Oryzias latipes: one gene and its partner. The protein of the gene in region 2 interacts with the protein of the main gene of each other region in a pairwise test. Links are inferred from orthologs where the notes say so. Each region holds a gene or a part of one and is shown on either strand. Other genes may lie near its edges. The genes, in order: psmc2 and psmd5.

What was found.
Region 1: the proteins of psmd5 (region 2) and psmc2 interact in binary tests that used the Homo sapiens proteins (3 or more experiments, as listed by UniProt). The link is inferred for Oryzias latipes from reciprocal best matches to the Homo sapiens genes PSMD5 and PSMC2.

Annotation. Positions count from the first base shown.
Region 1 is NC_019881.2:9,541,657-9,546,183, forward strand, and holds the start of psmc2 (26S proteasome regulatory subunit 7), read right to left. Parts: upstream 2,953-4,527; 5' UTR 2,839-2,952; coding exon 2,769-2,838; intron 2,475-2,768; coding exon 2,437-2,474; intron 2,296-2,436; coding exon 2,214-2,295; intron 1,311-2,213; coding exon 1,211-1,310; intron 1,104-1,210; coding exon 972-1,103; intron 892-971; coding exon 819-891; intron 50-818; coding exon 1-49. Other genes in the region: dnajc2 (dnaJ homolog subfamily C member 2), read left to right, coding at 3,281-3,341.
Region 2 is NC_019870.2:8,934,774-8,939,326, reverse strand, and holds the start of psmd5 (26S proteasome non-ATPase regulatory subunit 5), read left to right. Parts: upstream 1-1,466; 5' UTR 1,467-1,481; coding exon 1,482-1,714; intron 1,715-3,822; coding exon 3,823-3,967; intron 3,968-4,063; coding exon 4,064-4,177; intron 4,178-4,264; coding exon 4,265-4,393; intron 4,394-4,553. Other genes in the region: putative UDP-GlcNAc:betaGal beta-1,3-N-acetylglucosaminyltransferase LOC100288842, read right to left, coding at 1-661. UniProt on the Homo sapiens protein: Acts as a chaperone during the assembly of the 26S proteasome, specifically of the base subcomplex of the PA700/19S regulatory complex (RC).

The DNA of each region.
Region 1 (4,527 bases), on a different chromosome or scaffold from region 2:
CCTTGCAGCCACCAACATCACTGTAGGTTACATCAGGCTTCTCTTCCACCTGCACCACAGAGTTAGCACAAACTAAGAAATGAGTCATTTTGCTTTGATCTTTAAGAAAAACCATGAATCTGTACACTTTTATCTGAAGACTAGCCTTGTTTACCAACAAAACACTTTTAAATCACTTTTTTTTAGGCTTTTGGAATTTCTTTCACACTTTTTATTTTGATTCGTTTTGACAAGGACAAAATCTTTACAAATAAGAAGAGCTTAGAATGTACCTATATATCAAGTCTATCTTATTTATGAAACAAACCACCTTGACAACAAAAATAAATTACATTTTGGATCAAACCATTTTTGTCACTCCGGTGGCTAGATTGAACATCTAGTGATTCATATTTTATTGATATAATTCTCATATGTAAATTTAACTAGTCCAACTGTTAGCTTTACGATAGCTGCAACAAGTGGCAAATGTGTTTAAAAAAAGATAGCTAACTGGCTTCTAATTTGCCATAACAAAAAGGATAGGTCACATGAGGGTGTGTCCAACTCTGGTGTTTATGCACTTTATGGCTTTGACCTAAGAACTTTTTCCTCTACTAAAGAACAGGTCATGAATTTTGAATATGATGTTAATTTTTCCAGAGGAGTGTTGGGAACAAGTTCATCAAAATATTTAGAAAAATATGTATAATATGGCCCAATGTTCTTTGCATTTTGTTCCATGTTTTGCATGCATTTCTGTTCAGCCACTCTGGGAACATGAATAAAACAACAATCAAGCGCACACATGTTTTTATCCAAACTCTGCCACTGCGTACCTGCATCATAGTTACAGTGGGGTCAATCTTGGGAGGTAAAGGAATATGGATCTGATACTTGTTCCTGTCAACCCTGCAACAACAAGTACAAATGTGTGCTAGAGACATATAAATCGGCTTGTGATTGACATGTCATGATCATATGAGACTCACCCAACTCTCATGCCTTCCTCAATGTCAGTTGGAGCCACCTGATCACTCAAATCCACCACAAACTTAGCAAACTGTTTGACATTGATGATATATTTAGGGTCTTCAGAGTCTGCGTTGATGATCTTAGTGCATCTAAAACACATTTATCATAAAGATTTTTAGAAGAGGAAGAAAGACTAAATGAAATTTTAAAAAAAGTGACACAGGGTCTTTAAAACTAAAAAGGCAGGCTGTTTTACCTTGCCACTTGTAAAGGCTGCTCACTCTGCAGAGTCTGTTTGTCAGCAGCCAGATCCCAAAGTGCCGGTGGAGCCAAGCCTGTGTCAGACTCTTTGATGCCTGACAAATTCAAAATCACAAATAAACTGCATGTTATGTTGCAAATATCATACAATGTTTTTATTGAGAGATCGTTCTCTTTCTTATTTTATTCCTCTAAATATTCTATCATTTTTATCTTAACTACTAGTTGAACATTTTGTGCGTCTATTAAACTTGTTTAATGTGTTTTAATATTATTGTTGGTATAAAGTTGACAAAGTCCATTTTTTGTCTAGGACTGGTGGAAACCTGTATCTACTGTTGTTTTTTATTAAATGAGACTTTAAAGTACAATAAACACAACAAATAAATAAACAAAATGATGTTCACAAATAAAGAACGAAATAAATGTTCATTTAAAAATTACAATGATTAATTAAACCATTAACAAATATTAATTATACACAGATAAGGCCCTGTGTAATTAACAGCACATGTTAGATGTTTTGGAGTTTAAGTCAGAGAGGTCAGACTGAGATGATTGGGACATGTCCAGAGGAGAGACAGTGAATTTGTTGGGAGAAGGATCCTGAGTCTAGAGATGACAGGCAAAAGGTTAAGAAGAAGATCAAAGAGAGGGTTTCAGGATGCAGGGAAGGAAGACATGAATGTAGCTGGTGTTAGAGGAGAGGATGCAGAAGACAGGGATGGACAGAGGAAGTTGGTTGGCTGTGGTCGAAAGGAAAAGAAGAAGAGGATATATCTTAACTGGATCATAAAATAAATCAAATGTAATCACTGGGTATATCTAATGAAATCGATGTAGTTTATTTCCTGTCCTAAATACCTTTTTATTTATTATGCCCTTTTTATTCTACTGAAAAATTGCACTGTAATTTTGTTGAACATGTACAATGACAATAAAGATATTTCAATATTTGGTAAAACACCTGGGAATGACCAGGTTCCATGTTCACCCACCTGTAAGCTCGTTGATCTTCTTGAGAAGCTGCTGAATGTCATCCTCTACCTGTTTGATCTGTCTGGAGTAGGTGCTTTGACCCTGGCAAAGCCACGACAAACTTTGGTCAATATTTGACGTTTAGAATAAAACTAAAAATAAATGAATAAAATTAAAATAAAATAATTTAAGAAAGAAAAAAAAAAACAACTCTGAAATTTGACCACTTTGAGAAAAACTTACGTATGTTTTGAGCAGTGCGATGTCGCCTTCATCCAAAGCTACCAGAAAAAAATAAAAAACAGGAATATGACTTCGCTATTTCAGCCGGCAGTTAGCATTGATTGCTACAACACTGGTCATCATGTTAAAAATAAGAAACATTTTTATCTGTTCACTATAAACACATTGTTTTTGATTAAAAATAAAAAATGGGCCATCATTGGAACAACCTAAAACTATTGCGTTGTTTTAAAATAGAGGAAAAAACGAGAGCTAAGAGACAATTAGCTTGTTTGTCGACATGACATCCGACAGTATTGTTGTTGAGATTATAATATTGGTTTTGTATAAACCTCGAATGGGTGCGTCATCTTTTTCTTCTTCCTTGGTTTTCCGTTGATCTTCTCCCAAATAATCAGGCATGTTTAAAGTTGATACAAACGAACGCTTTTGTCACGTATGCTGGGCTATTTCTACTGCCAGACCGAGCGATTACACAGCAACTTTACACTTCCGCCGCTACCCGGAAGTCCAGAAGGGACTCGAATTGATGGGACACTCTCTCTAAAAACAGTTTTCTCAAAAAGTCCTCGGTGTTTCGATCAATGTATATACTGCTAAAAAATAATTCCGCTATATAACGTTATTATTTGTATGTATGTATGAAAAAAGGGGCTACTCAAAGAAGTTGTGGCGGAACCAAAAAGGCGGAACTATAATAGCGACTCAGAAGTCACTGAGCTCCTTCGATTTGCGTGCACACCGGGAGGAGGCCCATGTGGTCCGTCAATGAGCGACCCTTAAACTTTAGCACTTCGGACTACTTTACCAACGCTGGGAAGTGTATGTTTGAGACGGTTATGTTATGAAGATGCTGCTAGAAGCAAAGAATACCGAGGAGACCGCGGTGCTAAAGGCGGTTGCCGGTAAGTAGTGGAGGCCGCCGGGTCGCAGCTAATATCATATCGGTCTTTATGGACCTACTCTTACGCAGTTGTTCAAAAAAGCTTAAGAAATCAAACAAATGTTTAAATTCTTAAACGTTGTGAGTTATAACGTTGGGATTATTATTTAGATGACTTGTTGGTGGCATGATCTGACAGTGCCACACAAATTCACGGGCTCTAAACATTGAAGGGGTAAGGGTAGAATTCCTAATCCAAGTTTCCATTCTCCTCTGAAGTAACACATTTTTAGCTAACCCAAAAATTTAAATGATTTTTAAAAAATTACAAATTCTAAAATGGTAAAGTCCCATATGGTATTAAAATGCTTATTATGTAAAGTACATCCTCTGTAAACCAGACTGCTGTGACCATATTAGCTGTAATAATATTAGCAAACCTTACTGATTCTGGAATAACACTTTTCACTAATGAACCACAGTTGGACTTGATACTGTAATCAGAATAACTTTTTTGACCTTGTTGTCACAATCGAATTGAAATATTTTACAACTAACTTTTTGGGAAAATAATAAGTTTGAAGTTAGAGATTAATCTCCAGTAAAAAGAGGCATTAGTGCACTTTTTTGAAGGACTGATGATGTAGTGTTTGATTACATTCTAATCTTTGTTATGCAGGATCACTAAATTACTATAAAAATTGCATGGTGGTGTAGTGGTTGGGGCTCTTTCCTCACAGCATGAATTTTCATGTCCTGAAACAGAACATCAATGGGGACCTTTCTGTGTTGAGTTTGCATGTTTTCCCCATGCATGCATGGGTTTTCTCCGGAGACCCTGGCTTCCTCCGACCGTCCAAAACATGGTTGATAGGTTAATTGAGGCAAGGGACTCTAAATTGTCCTTAGGTAGGAATGTGCATGGGTGCGTGATTTGTGGCCCTGCGACAGACGGGCAAACTTTCCAGGATGTCCCCTGCCCTCGCCCACGAGTGGCTGGGATAGGTTCCGGCAGCCACGTGACACCGTAAGGGACAAAACGGGTTCAGAAGATGAATGAAAGAATGGTATAGCCAAAATCTTGACCATTTGTCAACATGAAATGTAGAAAAACAGATCTGACATCAATGGGATTCAGGTGAGAACAGAGAAAACTAGGTGGTACCATATCACAAAAAAGTGATGCAATCACATGAACAAGGATTAGG
Region 2 (4,553 bases):
GGACCAATGCAGATGCCACATACACCTTCCGGACTACATCTTGGGACAGCACATAGGCGGTGTCATCGCAATATTCGGGCAGGTATTTGGCAGGGTACAGAGCGGGGGGCAGGTACCCGGGACTCTTAGGGTCCCTGTTAGGTTGGTCTTGTTGAATCACTCTGCCTAGGTACAGATCCTCTGGGTGTCTGTGTAGTCTGAGCAGGTAGCTGCCAAGAGCTGGAAGGTTGACAAACACAGATTCCTTGGTCAGCAGAACAAATCGTGCCAGGGGACAGAAGGAGATCACCCAGCGGAGAGCCAGCACGGTCCTCTCCTTTGAGCCATGGAGGGACCGCTCTGCTCCAGCATAAGCCTGGATTACATCTCCATAACGCTCAGATTCACTTAGGAGCTCCTGATGCGCAGCAGAAGTGTCAGACAGCGCTAAGAAAAAAAATGTCTTCACTGGAAAGCCTTCAATCAGGGTTTGGTTTGCCCATGTCTTCCTCACAGCGTCTCTTTGGGAGATGTTTCCTGCAGAGCTGAAGACCAAAGCGAGAAGAAAGAGGTCAGAGTTTCTGCAAGCCTCAGCGTTTGTTATAGGGTACTCAAAGGAAATGTTTTCCCTGGCATCGCTCAGGTCCAATTTCCTTGCTTTCTCCCTCACGCCAGTAACCATGGCATCAGTGTAAACCCCTGGCGTGGGCTGCAGGAGGTACTCCTCCACAAAATCTGCCCCGAACAGCAAGGCATGGAAGAGCAGTACGTTGAAAAGCAGGAAACACCACTGGTGGGTACGCAGCTTGAACAAACAGATCTAAAATTTTGAAATGAAACAGTTCTTCAAATTCAATTTCCTGAAAACGCTTTAAGCATCTGAAGACTCTTATGCTTACCCGCATTATTTGCTTCTTCAGTGTTAATCTGTAACACAGGTGAGACTGTGGTGAGCTGGAAAACAATAGTAGAGGATAGAGAGGGTTTTCCATGTCATAGAAACTCTAGAAGCTTGCAACTCTACACCTCATCAGCAGTACAGCTCCTACCTGAGTTTCTGCATCATGCACACAGAGGATGAAGAAACATTGTCTCTTACAAATGCTTGAATGAAAAATGTTCAAGTAATTGAACAATTCTTTAAAGATTAATTGACATTCTATATGTGGGGTAACTTTAAAATGACTGAGATTAGAAGCTGAAATAAAAATTGAAGACTGCGATATAAACATTGTTTTGTACTTGAAACAGACTGCGAGTGTTCGTCGCTGCATTGTTTTAGCTCCAAAATTGAAACATTATGGCTCATTTTAAGGGGTATTTACAAATATACAAATAGATTAAACCAAAATTCCTCAAGTAAAATAAAGTACAAGGGTTTTTTGTTGATAAAAAATCAAAATACATTACATGGTGTTAAAATCTGAGTGGTTGTTGTGTTGTCCTCCCTCCACCAGGTGGCGCTAATGGCTTAACACTCTTGTCGACTTTTTCGACTAACCATGACGAAGAAGAGGCGCAGGCGCACGCATATTCGAGAGACGGGTACGTCTCTGCCAGTCATGGCTGCTTTGATTCAAAGTTTGCTGGAAGAAATCTCCAGAATAGAAGATCCAGTTGAGGAGTTACAGAGCTTAAAAACGGCGCTGCTTTCTATATCTGTCAGTGCATTGAGAGACTCAGTGAGCGGACAACGTCTGGATGTAATATTTTCTCTGCTCAGCTCCAATGACAGGTTGGTTCGGTCCTGTGTTTACAATGTTAACAGAAACTGCCAAAACTGCTGCTAGCTAACTGCTGAGTCAGTCCGGCAGGCTTTGGCGTTTGTGTGGTGAATTGTAAATTAAAAAAGTAAACTACACATATATTTTTACAGTATGCTACTAGTTAGCATGCTTAGGCTAAATGTTTCTAAAGAGAGTTTTGTACTACTATACTCTTTTATTTTGTTCTCTTTTTACAAATAAAATAAACAGCATTAAAAATAGCCTTTTTTGGAAATAAAAAATCTCCCAGGTTTTTTTTAAGAAAAAAAAAACTTAATGAGGTTGATACCGTTTATTTTATGATGTAAACTAATTATCTACAGCTTTTGCTGCCGTAAAAATCTAAAGCAGTGTACGTTTTCTTTGTTTAATTCCTCAGATATAAGCTGCACGAGACACCCACTACATTTGCAAAATAAAAGAAAATTATTTCTTCACTTTAAACTTGTTTTCAAATAAAGATGTTAGCAACGTGAGAATTAAAGATAGAGAATGAAATGGAACATCCCAATTATTTCCGCTCACAGCATGATCTACAAATTGATGTTTGATTATCTGAAAAAATAATGTCAATACCAGCGGGCTTCATGTTTAAGTTTGCCTTTTTTTGTAGATGAAATTAAATGCTTTAAAAGCATTGTTTGAGCACAAAAAAATCCTTGTTTTTATTGTTTGTTTTAAAAAACAACAACTTTATTGTTAATTTAATGGATATATAATCTTTGTCTTCTTTCTTTTCCATTACTATCTTAGTTTCCTCTGTCACTTCAACTTTTCCTCTTTGTCAAGAAGAGAAATCTTTTTGAGTTTACCTGAGTTTTTACTTGAGTTTACATATAATTTCAGGATAACTTTGACCAAAAAAAAAAAAATCGTGGATAAAAATAAATGTGGCGGTAGTCTGGGTAGCTCGTTTGGTAAGGTGAGAGACTACCACGCAGGAATCCAGGGTTCGATTCCCGGAGGGGAATGAACAATGGTAATCAGGCAATTACCATATCAATGGCGAGCAATTCACATCACCCAGTGAGGGGCCTTGGGCAAGACCCTTAATGGGCAAGGCCCTTAACGCTACTGACTCCCGGGCGCGGTTCGACTGCAGCCCACCGCTCCCCCAGGGGATGGGTCAAATGCGGAGAAGAATTTCCCCATTGTGGGATAAATACAGTATCAGTTATTTACCAGCTCAGTGGCCTTGTGGTTAAAGTGTCCGCCCTGTAAGGGCCGAGTCTTACCAAAGACTTTAAAAATGGGACTCAATCCCTCCCTGCTTGACACTCAGCATTAAGGGGTTTGACTGGGGGGTTTAAGCCACCAAATGTTTCCGGAGCGCGGCTGTGTCTGCAGCTCACCGCTCCCCCAGGGGATGGCTCAAATGCGGAGAACAAATTTCCCACACCTAGGTGTGTGAAAGATAGACTAAGTATAATATATAAATTAACTGTTATTTGAGTTCTACAAGACAAAAAGTGAGGACTAACAGTGACTCAAAATTAGCTTTCAACCTAATTCACCTGAGTTGAACAAAAAGATGGAAAATAAATGTGAAAGTTTGTTATTTAGTGAAGTGAGGTTGTATTGAGTTGGGGTAAAACTGGAATAAGAGGAGGGACTACAGTAGGAGCAGTACAATCTGTCTCTCAGGTTGTTTTATCATCTGTCAGACAAGCCTAGTATAGAAAACGGACAAACTGAAAGCAGCAGGTCAAACGCATTTATGTGAAAATTAGCACAAACTTTTTCTTTGATCCTTAAGCATGTCATAAAGATGTTTGTTGTGTTTTGCTTTTCTTGAATTTTAGTTTTATGTGTTTTCCATTTTCTGTCCAATGTGACTTTTAAAAAAGCCTTGCCTACTTGTTACTTTCTACAATAAAAGCATTTCTGTGTGTGGAATTGCGCTTGCTGTTTCCTGAAAGAACTTTGAATTGACATCTGCTGCTCAGCAAAGTATTTGAAAGTTTTGTCCTGTTTTCTCGCTGTGATCTGTAAAGGACAAAGAGGAACTTAGTGTGGACTGTTGATCTTTGACAAGGCCCTCTGAATTTCGGCCACACTTTTTGATTTGTGTTTATAGGCAGCAAGTGGAGCTTTGTGTGGAGATTCTGGACCGGATCCTGATGGCCCTCAGCCCTCTTTATCTGGTCCAGAACTACAGGACAGAGCTGCAGGGAGGTTTGACCCATCCAAATGAAACCGTGAAGATTCTGGCTTTAACTCAGGTATATTTATGAGCTGTTTGTACCCAAACATTGCAGACAGCTTCCCATAATAAGTAAACACCACTTTTTTTGTTTTGTTTTTTGGTAATTCGTCAGATTGGCAGAATGGTGGATCATCCAGACGCCGCCACAGAAATCCTCAACAACGAGGACATTCTAAAAGCTGTTATCCTCTGCATCGGAGAGGAAAAGATGTCTGTGGCAAAACAGGTCAGCACTCAGCCTTTTAAAGGACCTCAGTGAGTTTTGGTTCGTCAACAGGGTTTTACTAAATGCCTTTTTTTCCCCCTCTTTTAGGCAATTAAATCTTTGTCTAAACTGAGTTACTCCAAACCTGGATTGGACAAATTATTCCACAGCGAACTTCTTAAAGTGATAAAACAAGTGATGGGTACAAGTGACATCATTCGATACCGAGTGTATGAGGTATGCTCACATTTCAACACATTTTCAGGTCAAAAAATACCTTTTCTTCGAAAATGTTAAATAATTATTACAATTAAATTTTAAAATAAGGGAAGGAAACCATGAATCTCCTTTGTCTTGCACTTTTCATCTACTTTTTAACAAGAAGTTATGATTCTAA